Saccharomyces cerevisiae S288C: one gene and its partners. The gene in region 1 interacts genetically with each later gene. Each region holds a gene or a part of one and is shown in the gene's direction. Other genes may lie near its edges.

Region 1 (4,206 bases):
TCATTGAATGTCATATCCTCTGTACCAAGAGTTTCCTTGTCAGTGATGTCCAAGGGAATAATTTTGCTTTTCAAGAAACGGTCCTGACTGCCACCGGTTTTAGTTTCAACATATAATGGCTGCGGAAACCTTTGCAAGTCATTTAAAAGCTTGCAACAGAGCTCGCGACCTTCTTTTTCCAAAAGTTTTCCCCTTCTTAAAACTAAGTACGAGCCACCATCTACACAAATGGTGGTTTTATCATCTTGAAGTATCTGGGCTCTTGTTAATGGGACATCCAACACGATCCAGTCGTGTTTCAAATCACTGTAACTCCAGATGAAGGGTTTGCATAATGAAAGGCATGTGTCTTTAGAAGCGTTTATTATTCGGTGAAGAAAAAGGTACCTTTCATCAGGTGAAGTATTCCGAACCGATAGAATTGGAGACCTATATATATGATAACACCACTGTATCAGATTGACCATATCTACGTCTTTTCCCCGGATTTGATTTGGTAATAGAAACAATTGCTTCATCAATTCTTTAGTGTGCTTGGATGAGTAAGCAAAGCTATCGATAATTCGTGAGGCTATCTTTTTCATTGAAAACACAATTTCATTTTGTGCCCCAAATGATCTATTGGCTTTTGGCAATAAGAGGGTTTCAATTCTTATGTATTTTTCCGTTTGATTTTCAAAAGTGGTTTGAAACTGTATAGGAGCTTCAGCTGAATTGTGACCTAGTGAGATTTCTAATGGTAGAGAAAGGTTTTTAGGGTTTAAGCTATATTTTGGGAAGTCCTTAACGACAATAGCGTTCTTTGCGGTCATTATCTTTGAATGACAATTGTAAATGGCATTATGGTCACGCAAGTTCAGGTACTTTTGAAAAGACATTGCGAATCTCTCATCATTGAATGAATCAAACTGAGAAACTGCCATTGACGAAGTTATTAATGGACTCATTTCGAGTATACCGATTTGATCCAATGAAGCTATAAAGAATTCATAGATTAACGATTGGTTTGCAAATTTTTCAAGCATTTTCTTGTAAAATTTTGTCGGACTTTTTGATAGTTGCAATTGTGAACTTTTGGATTCAAAATGGTGGTTTTGTCTCATGCTTTCACCACGTTCTCTTGACATAACTTTGCCGCCACCCTTAGTACATGGACCATTCAGGAATGAAACTATATGACAGTAGGCTGACAAACTGCACTGAGACGCCAGTACGGATGAAACGAACAGCGCTAATCCGGTGCAACGCTTGTCCCTTTTAGAACTGATATTCACTTTGTTTGCAATCTTGCATATTTCCCGTAGCAATTTTCTTAAAGAACCCTGAGTAGATTTATCAAACCAGTATGATTCTTGATTGATTTCTGAAATTTTTTTCTCGAAGTAACTGGCATTTAATTTATCAAGATTATATTTGGTCATAAATTCATTTATTGAAAATACAGCATCACGTCTGTGATTCACAGCATTGTGTAAAATCACATGACCTGATTGCTGAATAGTAATTATTGATAGTGGCTCTTGTTGTCTTGTGATGTAATTATTACATAGAATGGAAACTAAATAATTTAGCTCATGAGGATCGCAAATAGCGTCTATAATCATAATGGTCCGTCTTGAAAGTATTTCTTTCTTTGCAGAAGTCAATGTATAGGTGTTGGAAGGTACCAGTGGCAATTCAGCATTTGAGTTTGATTGGTTGCAGAATAGACAAGTCCAAACATTCTGTTCTCGTAGGGAACAAGCCATCGAATAATAGGCGCCACATTTGGTGCATTTTAGATTTTGGTCATAGTTCTGCGTCACAGCATCGCTGGAAAAGGGCTCATATAAGAAATTAGTTGGAGAACACATAGGCACTTCCTTGGCCAAATTTGGTGCTAGATTGCAGTATTGTACAAATACAGGATTCAGTACCTGATCACTATTTTTACTCTTGATATTTTTTTTCCTTAAAAAAAATCAGAAGACAATAATGATAGAAAAAAACTAGGAATTCTTGAATTCATATGCATGGAAGAAAAAGGAATACAGGGAACAGACTTTTCAAAGCGAACAAACAGACCTTAACCGATGGCCGATTTCTTATTGAGACCAATTAAGCAACGTCATAGAAACGAGGACAAGTACGTGTCGGTGGACGCTGCAGACGGATCGGTGTCTAAAATTGAGCCCATCGCAGATTTTGTAATTAAGACAAAACTATTATCCGCTAATGGGCCGGAAAAACTGCAAGATGGCAGGAAGGTGTTCATCAATGTTTGTCACTCTCCGTTAGTGCCCAAACCTGAGGTCGATTTTAATGCAAGGATAGTGTTCCCGCTCATCATCCAAAACGAATGGGAGATTCCTATTATTACATCCTGCTACCGCATGGACCATGACAAGAAGGGGCAGGAGTGCTATGTGTGGGATTGCTGCATAAATAGCGATTGCTCGCGCTGGATATGCGATGATATCCAACTGCGAGAGATACTGGTCGAATGGTGCTTGGAGTCATGTGAGATCCGAGATTCGGTGGTATTGTGCAGAGATCGCATTGCATTCCCCAAGATGAAGAAGAAGGGCGCTGAGCTTCCTGCACTAGAGGTATTGAATGATGAGTTACATCAAGATTACAAGGCAAAAATGCATAAAATCATAGAAGAGGAGGCCGGAGACCCGATGAGTATATTGAGAGGAAGGAATGACGATGGCGATGATAATAATGATCCCGACGATGGAACACTACCACCATTGTTCCCTATCGAGAACAAAATCTCCGGAGCCAAGATAGAGGAGATTGATAAGAACGAGATTGCTCACAGAAACCTGAAACAGGCACCTGCACCTGCACCTGCACCGCACGAGCAGCAGGAGGACGTGCCGGAATACGAGGTAAAGATGAAGAGGTTCAAAGGGGCCGCCTACAAGCTGCGAATTCTTATTGAGAACAAAGCTCCGAACTCGAAGCCGGACCGGTTCTCTCCGAGCTACAACTTCGCAGAGAATATTTTATACATTAACGGTAAGCTGAGCATACCTTTGCCGCGCGACATAGTCGTGAATGCAGCAGATATCAAGATTTTCCATATCCGCAAAGAACGCACACTATATATATATATATAAACTAACATTTCGAGTATTCTTTTGGTTTTTGTTGTGACTAATACGAACGAATATATAAAAGCGGGAAAAAGGAGAGAGATATGATGTGCATCTATAACAGAATTTTTTTTTTTTTTTTTAATCCGGTAAAAAAAAGGGAATATTCTCAAAATTGCGGAGGGAAAGCGATGTTTTCTCTATGTGCTACGTATTCACTCACACTGTAGCCCAAAACATCGTGAATCTTCTCACTGGGTAAGCCCTTGATCTTCGCAAGCTCCAGACTCGTATAATTGGAGCGGACGCATCCAACAGACTGAATCGGCTTCGAGATATCCAATTCGCCATTGGGTAACCGCTGGCCTATTTTGAGATCAACGCATTCAAGTTCGTGGAAGTTGTCTCGGACTTCGATCACGGCGTTTGGAGTCAGACTAGCCATATCCTTTGACAAAAGTTTATCATAGCTGTTCTCGTCGATGATAATGGCGCCCTTGGTAATGAGCCCGTGCAGAATCCAAAATTCCCTGTTCTTAAGCTTGTGTTTGTTGTCATTAGCTAAGAACTTGGTGTGCATGGGAACATCGTAGCGACGCAACTGTTCGAGCTCCGTATCCTGAAGATCGAGAAACTGCTGCTGTGTGCCGTTTCCGATATGGCGCGGAGGGCGGAAGTGATGCTGAATGTAGTCAACGATCTTCGGGACGTACTCTGGACGGTCGCTCTTCATCACAATAGTCTCGATACCGGCATTAGAGGCGAGGTCGGCGGCTATGAGTTTGGTGCGCATTCCGCCCGTGCCAACCTCGGAGCCTGAACCACTGGAAGTGTTGACGCCCGGAAGGCCCTCTGATAGCTCTGGCACGAGAACAATAGGACGAGCATCCGGATTAGTGCGCGGATTGTCTGTATATAGGCAGTCCACATCTGTGAGCAAGAACAGGAAATCCGCCCCTACAAGAGCAGCGGTAATGGCAGAAAGCGTGTCGTTATCGCCGAACTCGATCTCGCTAATGGATAGCGTATCGTTTTCGTTGACTATAGGGATGACACCCATGGCCAGCAGTTCGTTGATTGTATTGCGTGCGTTATTGTACTGGTTCCAACGCAGTATATCGTT
Region 2 (4,452 bases), on another chromosome or scaffold:
TAAAATTATTAGCCCCATGTATTTGAACATCTCAAAGTAATTTTAGACCGAGACCGATTACGGAGATAGAAGAATAGTGCAAGTGAAATACTATTTTATCTTTACTTAAAAAAGAAAAAACAGGAGGAAAATTAGCGGTATTCCATTATTATTAGCACTGCAACGTCCTGGTTATATAAATTTGAATATACAGGATTTCATCCGTTTCTACATTTTTGTTACCTGCATGATCAAATCTTTTAAAGAGTCCCAGGATTTCACAAGGTAGGCACCTTTACCGCCTTCCTTTTCACAAAACTGTAACCACGCTGGACCATTATCAGCTTCAAAACTCGAGATTTTATCCTTTGGGATACCAATAATCTTTTCGGTAATTTTTATGAATTTGGAAGGATTTTCTTGCGGGTTTATTAGCAGTACACCATTAGTAGATGGATGTAATATGGACAACAAGTCAGTCTCACTATCCCCTATATACCAATAGCTGCAAGAATTTCCTTCTTTATTGCAACCTGAGTCGATCTTATCTAATATTTCACCCAGTATCTTGACCTTATCAGAGCCTGTCAATAACCGACAATCAAATTCACCATTGTAGCTTTGAGAACACTTGTCACTAACTTTTTTTAGATCGTTACAAAAAATATGACTATTTTTAAGTCTTCTGTCACCAATGACTTCATGAATAAACTCTTTTGACCAATTTATAGATAAAACGTAAAAATCACTTTCAAAATTTTTGACAACTGAAGAGCAAAACGTTTTGAAACCATCTCTTAGTAAACAATCTTCGTGATTCTGATCTCTGGCGAACGTTTTCATTTGATCCAAAGAAATCGACTTAAAAATCTGTTGTTTTGTAATTTCATTTACACTATTTAACTCAACAACCCTGTTATGATTTTGATATTTTAATTCGTCCGCAAACAACTTATTGAAGTTAGACTGCGAAATTATCGTAGGTACGCCTGAAGATAACAACGGCAGTGATCTCGTTCCATTGTATTTGTATTTATGGTATCCGTCCATATATGTCTTGGTAAAATGACCCCACTCAGGTTTCAACCGCGGGTTCAGTAGATACGGTAATTTAGCAATGGTGCAGATTGTGTCAACTCTTGTGATTGTTTCATCAAAATCTGAAATAATAATGGTTTTCATATCCTCCACTGTTCGCTTCTGGTTACTGCAATTGTTAAATGCATTGGCTCGATTGTCAACATTGCTTTGTGCGAAGAAAGGTCGCTTTTAAAGAAAACGATAAGAACTAACCTCTAACTACATAATAATAAGAAAAAAGTATACAGATAAACAAGCTCAGTAGTAATACATAAAATAAAAAGTTTTGCAAATCGATTGTCCACACACTTCTATATCAATTCCAACTAAGAAAACGAAGGAACCGACTCAAACCGGTGTAAAAGCTAGGCTTTCAATCTCTGCTCCTCCAAACAAAACTAGTGCTTGATATCACATCCAATTAAATTACGTAAATAATTTTAGAGTGACACCATCGTACAAAGAGGGCATTAAGCTTATTTTTTTAATTCTTATGAAAAAAAAAATGTGAAAGAGAGTAGAAAATTTTCATAACGAATCTCTTCTATTCTTATGTACCGTTCCGCCAAATTTTTCATGAAAAAATTTGGGAAAAAGAAAAAAAAAAAAAATAGTATATAAAGTAAAAAAGATGCGCAAGCCCGGAATCGAACCGGGGGCCCAACGATGGCAACGTTGGATTTTACCACTAAACCACTTGCGCTAGTAATCTTGATACATGATTCGAGAAAAGCAACAATATTATGTATACGGAATATACTAGGAGTTCTCTTCAAGGATAGAGGAATCCTCAAAATGGAATCCATATTTCTACATACTAATATTACGATTATCCCTTCTTCTATTTTATATGTTTCATTATCCTATTACATTATCAATCCTTGCACTTCAGCTTCCTCTAACTTCGATGACAGCTTCTCATAACTTATGTCATCATCTTAACACCGTATATGATAATATATTGATAATATAACTATTAGTTGATAGACGATAGTGGATTTCTATTCCAACAAGAACATCCTTGAAAGGTCGACTATTAACATAAGAATAAGAGAGAGTGTGTGGCCGATGCTGTTGCTATAGCTCGGTCGTAGTTTAACACCACGGCATTATTCAGCTTTAAAACAATTGAATTATAAACCTGCTTTTCTTACTACGAAAAGTGTTTCCCTTTAATAAATCTATTGTACATACTTTACAGTTGATAGTACCTTCACCATAAAAATATGCAAACGCTTTTGTTATTGGGAACAGGAATACCAACCGTTCTCATGGAAAATAGCAAAGTGTAAAAGAATTTATTATCATCGAGTGATAAAGAATATCGCCAGATCTTTACGGATATATATCGCTAAAAATATTTGTCGCCAATAAAAGATATGTCTAACGCTCCCTTTGCAGGTAGTTTTTTACTGGCATCGCCTTTTTACTGCAAATTATTGAAAATTTTCGAGCGAGAAAAAGGAACGAAAAGAGATGAGCTAAATTCAAATATCAAAGTACTGTCATAAGTGCTTTCTTTATCGACAAATTACAAGCAGAAGAAACATTCACTTCACAATTAAATGTCCGAAAATCACGTTCCTGCCTGGAAAAGAATTGCTTTGAAGAGACAGACTATAAGCAGTGGTGACGAAAGTAAAGAAAAAGGCCAATCCAATCTAATAGATGATGATCCACTAAATATCACTACGCATTTATCCACTGGTAATTTGACAAAGAAAGAGAAAAAAAGAATCATTAATGGTGAGAGCAAATCCTCTACCAAAAAAGGGAAGCGTGTGTCGAAACCAGGGACGAAGAAGAAGGAAAAATTGTCAAAGGATGAAAAGAATTCGAAAAAAAATAAAATTCTTAAAGATCAATTACGTTACCTGATAGAATTTTTCAGGACAAAGTCTGAGAGCAAGTTTCCCACCGGAATCCTAGAATTGGAAAGTGTAAAAGAAAATTACGGCGACTCCCTGATCAAAGACGAGCCATCAGAGTCTGGTGTTGTTGAAGTTTGGAAATTTTCCAAGCAAAAGCAAAATTGGCTTATTAAGCATTTTTTCAACTTGGACGAAATCCCCTCAGTATATAATGATCTTTTGCTTTTATATTTCAGGGACTTACAAGGTAAATCAAAAGAAGAACTAATATCAAAATGCAAAGGAAAACTGAAGCAATGGAACGACTATGTGGAAGATCAAGAAACAAAAATAAAAGCGTTAATTGCAGAGGATAAGGCTAGCGAACCAATTAATGGTGAAGAAAAAGAAGAAGGTGAAAAAGACGGTAATGCCGAACAAGGGAAGCAAAAAGAGGTACAAGACGAGCAAGAGGAAGTACAAATGCCGAATAAAGAGCTTGTTCAAAGAAGTCTGAAATTACTAGAAATTTGGAAGAATGATGACTCGGAGCAGATAGAACTTAAGAATTTCTTCGTTGATGTTTAACATAGAGTTCAACAACGTTGTTCAGTTGTAGTATATATTTTACTGTGAAATACGCTCAAAAAGTAGCGGGATAAATCGTTTCAGGAAGTATAATTTCTTACAAAACTATAACAAGATCGTCTAAGTAACATACATAAAGAAATCACATAAATTTTTAAAATTCGAGGTCAAAAAAATCAGGTGGATACATAACTTACCTTAAGTTATCAAGATTTTCAGTACACACAATGTGATTACACTGATTTATAAAACCACCTTACGGCCTCTTATAAGTAATAACGTGGCTCATCAAAAACATGGTAGAAGTGACCCCTCTCACCTTCGCCTAAAAACTTATCTGGAAATTTCATGTCCTCATATTCCGGTTCACTCATATGACCGTATTCATACATAGAATCCGAGTGCTCTACTAACGCTTGCTCACTCAAAACTTGGAACTTACCAACTTGTAGCTCCGTATCGGTTATCGTTCCTCTTGCAACTCTAGCATATCCTGTTCTTCTCAAGCCCCTATACAAGATATACTCACACCATCTATCATCGTCAGAAGGATCAATGTCGTGCATTCCGGATGTTTCACTAACGTACGTATTGTAGTTGCCTTCACCTGGATCAACAACTAAGTAACTTAATAAAATAGCTGGGCGAGTCGTATTGCCCATGAGCTTAGCCATGTAGTTACTTTGCAGTCTTCTATCCTCTTCATCCTCTTCTTGTCCACTATGGAATACAAAGACGTCAACGAGAGTGTCATTGTACGTTTGAAGTGTGGCATGAATGGCTGGCGCAAGTTCCCCAACTGGAGAGGGCAATAAATGATGCGTAGAATTTACGATAGGGAATTTAGAAAGAAGAACACAGCCCCAGGTATGTTTATTTGGACCTGGTCCGAAATCTGCATACATATTCAAATCATGAGCTAGTTTGCTAGTTAGATCCCTGTTCCCCATGGTAA
Region 3 (2,894 bases), on another chromosome or scaffold:
TGTTCATGACCGCCGTTCCATCATTTGTAGATTCATGTCCTCCCAAATCAGATACTGTTTTGTTTATGTTTGAGGTCACTGTATCAAAATTCAAATCATCTAAATCTTTTTCATTGATATAAGATTCCATATCGGAAATATTGTTGCTTTCCGTTTCCGTCAAACCGTCCCTACTCACCGATCCGTTACCGCTGGCGCTGCTTCCATCTCCATGTATACCTTTATTGGCATTCAGTGAATCAGATTTTTGTCCATCATTTTTATTGTCAGTTAAAAAAATTTTCCCCTTTTGACTTGTGGGGAAATGAGATTTTAACCTTGAAGCACTTCCTATATTGCCATTTGAACTCTCTCGATCATCAAGAATGCTGATGCTGTTTCTGTTATTTGTGTAGGTGTTGTTTTTATTGTTGGACATGCCGTTGATGCCTTTGTGGGCTGGACTTGCTCCAGAACCCTTAGCATCAAAATCATCATCTAACTGAAAAAATTGAGAGTGTATATCGTCACCTTCTTCGTCATCGTCGTCGTCATCATCTTCTTCTTCTAAGTTTTCATCGAAATCGAAGTTCATATCGAATTTACTGCCTTTCTTATTATGGCGAGCACCAGGTGGATGCAAAGTAGATGATTTTGCTCTTGTATTAGTTGTATTCATGACATTTTTATTTCCAGAAGTATTTGAGTGGTCCCTTCGACTTTTGAATATCCTCACGAAAGGAAGCGACGATCTCTTACTAGATTTCTTCTGCATTTCCATCGAACTATTTAAATATGAGTCTTCCTTTGAGGAAGTTTTGTGATGTTTTCCACTGGTATGGTCGTCATCATTTAAAAGAGAGTTCGACGCAGATGAATTAAGTGGATTATAACGAAGTGTTCCATTTTCTTCAACTATCAGAGTATTTTTTGCACTTTTATCTTGCAAATTTCGTGTTTCTTCCTCGTCTCTTTCAGTCTTCTCTGCTCCTATTAAATTCTGGTTAGCCTTTCCTTTTTGGCCTTCATTCTCCCTCATTATCCTCATTTTCCCTAATGAAGCATAGTTTTCCATAAAATCCTTAGATACCGGTGGAGACTCTAGTTCAGGTAACAAGCTTACGCCGTCTGAGTTCATATATAATTCACGGATAGAAGAATCTAAGCACTGCTCTGTGTTGAATTCATCTACGGGTATGTACGGTTTTATTATTCTTTTCATTTGATCTTTCTCCGGACACACTCGTAGAAACTGAGCCCGCAGTTCATTTAATACCGTCACCGTGTCCATTATCGTCTTATTATGGTGTGGTGGGGGTTTTACAAACACTGTTTTATTTAGTTTTCCTGTTCAGTAGCCTGTATCTATTGAGAATTATTATACCGTATATTTTTTGACGCGGGCTGATATGTAAGGTCGGCTAAAAAAAAGAAAAATTTCAAAAGTTAAACTAACCTCATCGCAACCACAATCCATTTAAAGCCTGGTTCTAGAGGCTTCATAGACGTTTACAGATTTAATAAAGTAGATAGCGTACAGTTTTAATGGCTCTCTCTTCAAACTGGCAGGCACTATTAGCCTCCGAAAGCAATCCTACCTCCAATGGAAAGAATAAGCAATCAAATAGGAAAATCAGAAACGTTAAGAAAGTTAGCAAAACAGTAAATGTCAGTAGTACAACCCAATATGCCCCTCGAAAGCGCAAAAACGGCAGTAAAATTATGGACATGGTATATAACATGAACAAGGAGATTAGTAAGCATGAGAAAGACAAGCTCGAGGGAAAAGTGTTTGAATTCAACCCAAATAAAGCAAATACTAGTACTACTATTAAAGAGCCAGTAAAAGTGGGTATTTCGGAAGATACTCGTATTAATAGTAATAAGAGTAAAGAAATTGGGAAATACATCGCCATGGATTGTGAATTTGTAGGCGTTGGTCCCGAGGGTAAAGAGTCTGCGTTAGCTAGAATATCAATCGTAAATTATTTTGGACATGTCGTCCTCGATGAATTTGTTAAGCCAAGAGAGAAAGTTGTAGAATGGAGAACTTGGGTTAGTGGTATTAAACCAGAGCATATGAAAAATGCCATTACATTCAAAGAAGCTCAAAAAAAGACTGCGGATATTCTGGAAGGTAGAATTCTTGTAGGGCACGCTTTAAAGCATGATCTCGAAGCATTGATGTTATCCCACCCAAAGTCACTACTCAGGGACACTTCAAGACACCTCCCATTCAGGAAGTTGTATGCTAAGGGTAAAACACCCAGCTTAAAGAAATTAACCAGGGAGGTTTTAAAAATTTCCATTCAAGAAGGTGAGCATTCTTCAGTCGAAGATGCTCGTGCCACCATGCTATTATATAAAAAGGAAAAAACGGAATTTGAAAAAATTCACAGAAACACTTTCAACTAAGACGGTAGATGAATGGCCCCTTTTATTCTTACAATTAAAATGCATTGGTATGTACATTAGTCTATGTGGCGCTTGAATTTACTGAGCCATTCATTACACGATAGAATATATAAAAATTGTAGCTGTATAAAAGCAACCCACGTAACAAATTGCGAAAAATTAGCGATAAGAAAACCCTAACATGAGATATGTACATTCATGCTTACAGATAGATATTGATATTTCTTTCATTAGTTTATGTAACACCTCTAAGCAGAACATGACATCCTTGATAAAATCATTGTCATTATTCTCTTACGTTCATAGATATCTTCAGGTTTTACATCTAAAGGTATCATCATGTCGGAGTTCTTCGCAAATATACCAGAAGAAGTCACAATCGATAAACCTCTTTTGGTTAGACGTTCAATGGATTCTTCGTGAAGTTTTTCTAACGAATTAGACTCTGAATGCGTCACTAATAAGTTTAAAATATCGAAAGCAAGTGGAACACAATCCGA
Region 4 (5,705 bases), on another chromosome or scaffold:
TTCATTATGTTGCTCCTATTGATCTCTGCATTGTGGTCTAGTTACTATTTAACTCAGAAACGAATTAGGGCAGTGCATGAAACTGTGCTTTCTATTTTTTATGGTATGGTTATTGGCTTGATAATAAGGATGTCCCCCGGGCATTATATTCAAGATACGGTTACTTTTAATTCATCCTACTTTTTTAATGTTCTATTGCCGCCAATTATTTTAAATAGTGGGTACGAGTTGAATCAAGTGAACTTTTTCAATAATATGTTATCTATCTTAATTTTCGCCATACCGGGCACCTTCATATCTGCTGTGGTTATTGGAATCATATTGTATATCTGGACCTTTTTAGGACTAGAGAGTATTGACATTTCATTCGCAGATGCAATGTCTGTTGGTGCTACATTATCTGCTACCGACCCTGTTACAATTCTTTCAATTTTCAATGCGTATAAAGTGGATCCTAAGCTATATACCATCATTTTTGGAGAATCACTGTTAAATGATGCCATCTCTATTGTTATGTTTGAAACCTGTCAAAAATTTCATGGTCAACCTGCAACATTTTCGTCGGTTTTTGAAGGGGCAGGCCTCTTTTTGATGACTTTCTCCGTTTCGTTGTTGATAGGCGTTCTTATAGGAATTCTTGTTGCTCTTCTGTTGAAACACACTCACATAAGGCGCTATCCTCAAATTGAGAGTTGTTTGATCTTGTTGATTGCTTATGAATCCTATTTTTTCTCCAACGGTTGCCATATGTCCGGTATCGTCTCCTTGTTATTTTGCGGAATTACTTTAAAACATTACGCCTATTATAACATGTCAAGAAGATCACAGATCACCATTAAGTATATTTTCCAACTATTGGCAAGATTATCAGAGAATTTCATCTTTATCTATCTAGGTTTAGAACTTTTTACTGAAGTAGAACTAGTCTATAAGCCACTGCTAATTATTGTGGCAGCTATTTCTATATGTGTTGCTCGTTGGTGTGCTGTGTTCCCATTGTCGCAATTTGTTAACTGGATATATAGAGTAAAGACAATCAGATCTATGAGCGGCATAACCGGAGAAAATATTTCTGTTCCCGATGAAATACCCTACAATTACCAAATGATGACATTTTGGGCAGGTTTACGTGGTGCTGTTGGTGTCGCCTTGGCGTTGGGAATTCAAGGTGAGTATAAGTTCACTTTATTGGCAACGGTCCTTGTTGTTGTTGTTTTAACAGTTATCATTTTTGGGGGCACTACTGCAGGAATGTTAGAAGTTTTAAATATTAAGACTGGTTGCATAAGTGAAGAAGATACATCTGATGACGAGTTTGATATAGAGGCTCCAAGGGCGATAAATTTATTGAACGGTAGTTCTATTCAGACAGATTTGGGCCCATATTCTGACAACAATTCTCCAGATATTTCAATTGACCAATTCGCGGTCAGCAGTAACAAGAATCTCCCCAATAACATATCCACAACTGGTGGTAATACTTTTGGAGGCCTTAATGAAACTGAGAATACTAGCCCTAACCCGGCAAGGTCTTCTATGGATAAGCGTAATTTGAGAGATAAACTGGGAACAATCTTTAATTCCGACTCACAATGGTTTCAAAATTTTGATGAACAGGTATTGAAGCCAGTATTCTTGGACAACGTTTCTCCATCCTTACAAGATTCGGCTACGCAATCACCTGCAGATTTCTCTTCCCAAAACCACTAGACTTTAAAGTGTATGGTTTCCTTGTTTCTAATATAAATATATTAATTAAGTCTTTATACATTCTCTCTTACTCAACGCCGAAGGAATACCCTTCTACACTTTATTCATTTTAAATCATGTACTGTTATATACACGCTAGTAGGATTGATCTTATTTAATCATATTTCGCACGTTACCCGACTGCTTTCAGTTTTGCCGCTTTGTGATAATGAGGAATTTCAGCTAGCTTTTAATGAGCCGATACTAAATCACCATGATTTTGGGAGAGGAAAAGAAGAAAAGGTAAAACAACGAATATTTTTCAAATACCTTAGTTACTGAATATCCATAACTACTCGTATAATTGGTGAGAAAATAGTGCATATTTAGTTTACTTTTTGCCTTTGATTGAAAATATATATTCATGGTGCTTTTTACTCGGTGTGAAAAGGCAAGAAAGGAGAAACTCGCCGCTGGTTATAAGCCCTTAGTTGATTATTTGATTGATTGTGATACTCCCACATTTTTAGAAAGAATTGAGGCAATCCAAGAGTGGGACCGATCCAGAGATGATCTTTATGTTTGGATTCCCATTCTAGACAGAATGGACGGGCTGTTGTTAAAAGTGGCAGAGAAATATAAATACAAGCAAGACCCCAAGAAGGAGTGTGAAGTCAAATTGGTGGAAATGGAAGCGCATGATGTTGATTATTGTTTGAAAATGCTAAAGTTTACTCGTCGACTACTTCTAAATACAGAAAACAGGTTTGTTTATTCATCTGGAGATGTTTTAATGTATCTACTGAATTGTCCGAATTTTACAATAAAACTAGCGGTCATGCGAATTTTAGCCATTTTAGGGGAAAGGTTTGTGATTGCGAGAGAAAAAATAGTTGCACATAACATATTTGGAGATCACAACCTCAGGAAAAAAACTCTCAAACTAGCTTTATCTCTGTCATCTTCCGTCATGGATGAAGACGGAGAGCACTTTTCTCTTGTCGATCTATATTTTGATAAGAAAAAAGTGCCTCAAAAATGGAGAAAGTTGAGATTTACACATTATACTTCAAACGACTTTAAAAAGTCAAGCCAGCAAAAAAATAACATTAATGAAACCCAAACTTCCATTAAGAAGGTAACTATGACGACCCAAGAACTGTGTGAACACTCACTACAGCAAATATTTGATAAGGGTATGGCCCTTTTACCCGCAGAAAGTTGGTTTGATTTCTCAATAAAAGCTTCGGTGGCGAAGGCCTTCAGTGATGATTCAGGTGAAAATATAGATTTGAGAAATATAATTATTGAAACAAAACTGAATGCTATTGCATTTGTTAACACCATTTTCTCGCCTCCTCAAGTAAGCTCGAAGTTATTTGAATTAGATCCGTATGCTTTTAATAGTCTAACTGATTTGATATCGTTGTCTGAAACCAAAATACCAAAAGAGCTAAGAACGGATGCTTTATTCACATTGGAATGTATATCCTTGAAGCATGTCTGGTGCTCAGACATTATCAGAAATCTCGGTGGTAACATATCGCATGGTCTGTTGTTTCAGATTCTCCGTTACATTGCCAAGACATTGAGAGAAGCGACAGACGAAATCGATGAAGAATATAATGTGAGGTTCTTTTACTTGATATCAAATTTAGCTGACGTTAAGCCTTTGCATGAATCTCTTTTCGCCGCGGGTTTAATACCTACTTTATTGGAAATTGTATCTATAAGAAATTGCCCATATAAGCGTACCCTCGCATCTGCTACCCATCTCCTAGAAACATTTATAGATAACAGTGAAACTACCACTGAATTTATCGAAAATGATGGGTTTACTATGCTGATCACTTCAGTCGCCAATGAGATTGATTTCACGCTTGCACATCCAGAGACGTGGCAACCGCCAAAATATTCAGTGGTTTATTATTCAATTTCTTTTAGGGAGTTGGCATATATTAGAAGTTTATTGAAACTCGTTCTCAAATTATTAAGCACAGACTCAGGGGATAGAATTAGAAATTTAATAGATTCGCCGATACTTGTTTCATTAAAGAAAATCCTAGAAAATAAACTTGTATTCGGTTTAACATTAATAACTTACACTCTGGATGTAGTTCAGAAAGTAATAAATAGTGAGCCTACTATTTATCCTGTTCTGGTTGAAGCAGGACTTATTCCATATGTTATCGATAATTTTCCAAAGTTAATTGGGCCTTCCGCCGAATTATTAAGTTTACTTCCAGATGTCGTTTCTGCCATATGCTTGAATCCAGAAGGGCTGAAGCAAGTTAAAGAAAAGGGTCTCATAAACAATTTGTTTGATTTCTTACTCGATGCTGACCACGCGCGTATATTAACAGGTGGAGATCGTTCTACGGAATATGGTACTGACATTGATGAATTAGCAAGACATTATCCAGACTTAAAGGCAAATATCGTGGAGGCTTTGTGTAACGTCATCAGAAAAATGCCAAGTACCTTTAGAAATGAAAGAGAGTTTCTTTTTACTTCACCAAAAGATCAAAAGTACTTTTTTCACAGAAAAAATGAGGAAATATTGACAGATAAAGAGGAACATGAACCTGCATACTGGGAGCTATTAGATAAGGGAACTATGCTGGACACATTTACCAGTGTTTTGTTTGGTATGTCTTTAGGAAATGGTTCTTTTTCACAGGTGCCACAACATCTGGAAGCGAGAGATTTTCTGGCAATAATATTTATGGAAAATCCTCCTTATGAATACTTTACCTCCGTGGCAATCTCAAATGTTACTGAGGTCCTCCAGTATCTGGATGAAAAATACGAAGACTACGCATTCATGGATGTTATGAAAGTATTGAACGATCAATTGGAGAACCTGAATGATTTTTTGAATAGTCCAAATGATAGAAGTTTCTTTTTAGAAAGAGATGGGGAAAACTCGGTGCGTTCATGCCATTCAAAACTTTGTCGACTTGCCGCTATTTTGAACATTGTTACGAATGTATACATTGACCTCACTACCTTATCTTGTAAGAGAATCATGCAGATCTATTCTTATTTTGACAAAAGAGGATTTTCTTTAATTAAAAACTTAAAGTTGCTATTCCAGAAATGTGCGTTGGAGGAAATGTACATACGCCAACATATGCCAGATTCTGTTATTACAGAAACAATGCCGTTGCCTATAGTGGATGTTTCCGGAGATGGACCACCACTTCAAATTTATATCGATGACCCAAAAAAGGGTGATCAAAAGGGGAAAATTACCAGCGTAAAAACGAGAAATACTCTTCAAATGCGAACAATACTGTATACATTACAATCAAATACTGCAATTCTATTTCGCTGCTTTTTAAGGTTAAGCCACTCTAGGAATATGGATCTAGAGCATAAAGATTTGACGACAGAAGTTCATATATTTGAGAACGTTGTTGAAAATGTTATTGAAATGTTGAAGGCCACCGAACTCGAAGGTCATCTACCGTATATTCTCGTTTTATTAAACTTCAACACCTTTGTGTTTACTATTCCAAAGGCTTCCCCTAATTCCACTGAAATATTACAAACAATACCGGCTTATATTTTCTATCAAAAGGGGGGCTATTTACTTTATTTGCACATTATAAGGGATCTCTTTACGAGAATGACAAAAATAAAAGATTTATCCTCACTTGATAACATAAACTACATAGATGAGTCCAACGGTATCCTAACCTTAAGCTGTTTAATTAATGCTCTCACCTTTTACAACAAATCAATGCAAACTGAAACCATGGAGAATGTCCAAAGTATTGGTAAGTATTACGTTTCAATAGATGACGATTATAATATTATGAAAGCTTTAACAGTTCCTATTAAGGTAATGGCTCTCGCAATGATTTTAGATTTGGATAAATCGGATAGCCTCTTCAAGACACAGTCCCGTAATGTGCCTTACTCAGTTTTCAAGCAACTTCTTAGTATGCTCAAAAATATATTCACTAATGTGAACATCTATACCAAGGAATTATATGAATTGCATTGGGACC

Evidence for each region.
Region 2: mutations in PIH1 (region 1) and RBP95 together harm fitness more than expected from each alone (negative genetic interaction), as found in Saccharomyces cerevisiae (3 studies listed by BioGRID).
Region 3: mutations in PIH1 (region 1) and REX4 together harm fitness more than expected from each alone (negative genetic interaction), as found in Saccharomyces cerevisiae (3 studies listed by BioGRID).
Region 4: mutations in PIH1 (region 1) and TOM1 together harm fitness more than expected from each alone (negative genetic interaction), as found in Saccharomyces cerevisiae (2 studies listed by BioGRID).

What each region holds. Positions count from the first base shown.
Region 1 is NC_001140.6:175,866-180,071, reverse strand, and holds PIH1 (Pih1p), read left to right. Parts: upstream 1-2,072; coding exon 2,073-3,107; downstream 3,108-4,206. Other genes in the region: GTPase-activating protein NEL1, read right to left, coding at 1-1,853; YHR033W (putative glutamate 5-kinase), read right to left, coding at 3,253-4,206. UniProt on the Saccharomyces cerevisiae protein: Involved in pre-rRNA processing and required for the NOP58-snoRNA interaction.
Region 2 is NC_001135.5:141,010-145,461, forward strand, and holds RBP95 (RNA-binding ribosome assembly factor RBP95), read left to right. Parts: upstream 1-2,624; coding exon 2,625-3,497; downstream 3,498-4,452. Other genes in the region: CTO1 (Cto1p), read right to left, coding at 208-1,161; CWH43 (Cwh43p), read right to left, coding at 3,764-4,452.
Region 3 is NC_001147.6:180,058-182,951, reverse strand, and holds REX4 (putative 3'-5' exonuclease), read left to right. Parts: upstream 1-1,524; coding exon 1,525-2,394; downstream 2,395-2,894. Other genes in the region: AVO1 (Avo1p), read right to left, coding at 1-1,270; Ras GTPase activating protein IRA2, read right to left, coding at 2,643-2,894. UniProt on the Saccharomyces cerevisiae protein: Exoribonuclease involved in ribosome biosynthesis. Involved in the processing of ITS1, the internal transcribed spacer localized between the 18S and 5.8S rRNAs.
Region 4 is NC_001136.10:1,367,677-1,373,381, forward strand, and holds the start of TOM1 (E3 ubiquitin-protein ligase TOM1), read left to right. Parts: upstream 1-2,113; coding exon 2,114-5,705. Other genes in the region: bifunctional K:H/Na:H antiporter NHX1, read left to right, coding at 1-1,710. UniProt on the Saccharomyces cerevisiae protein: Probable ubiquitin ligase protein involved in many cellular processes, such as transcription regulation, maintenance of nuclear structure, cell cycle, mRNA export and rRNA maturation.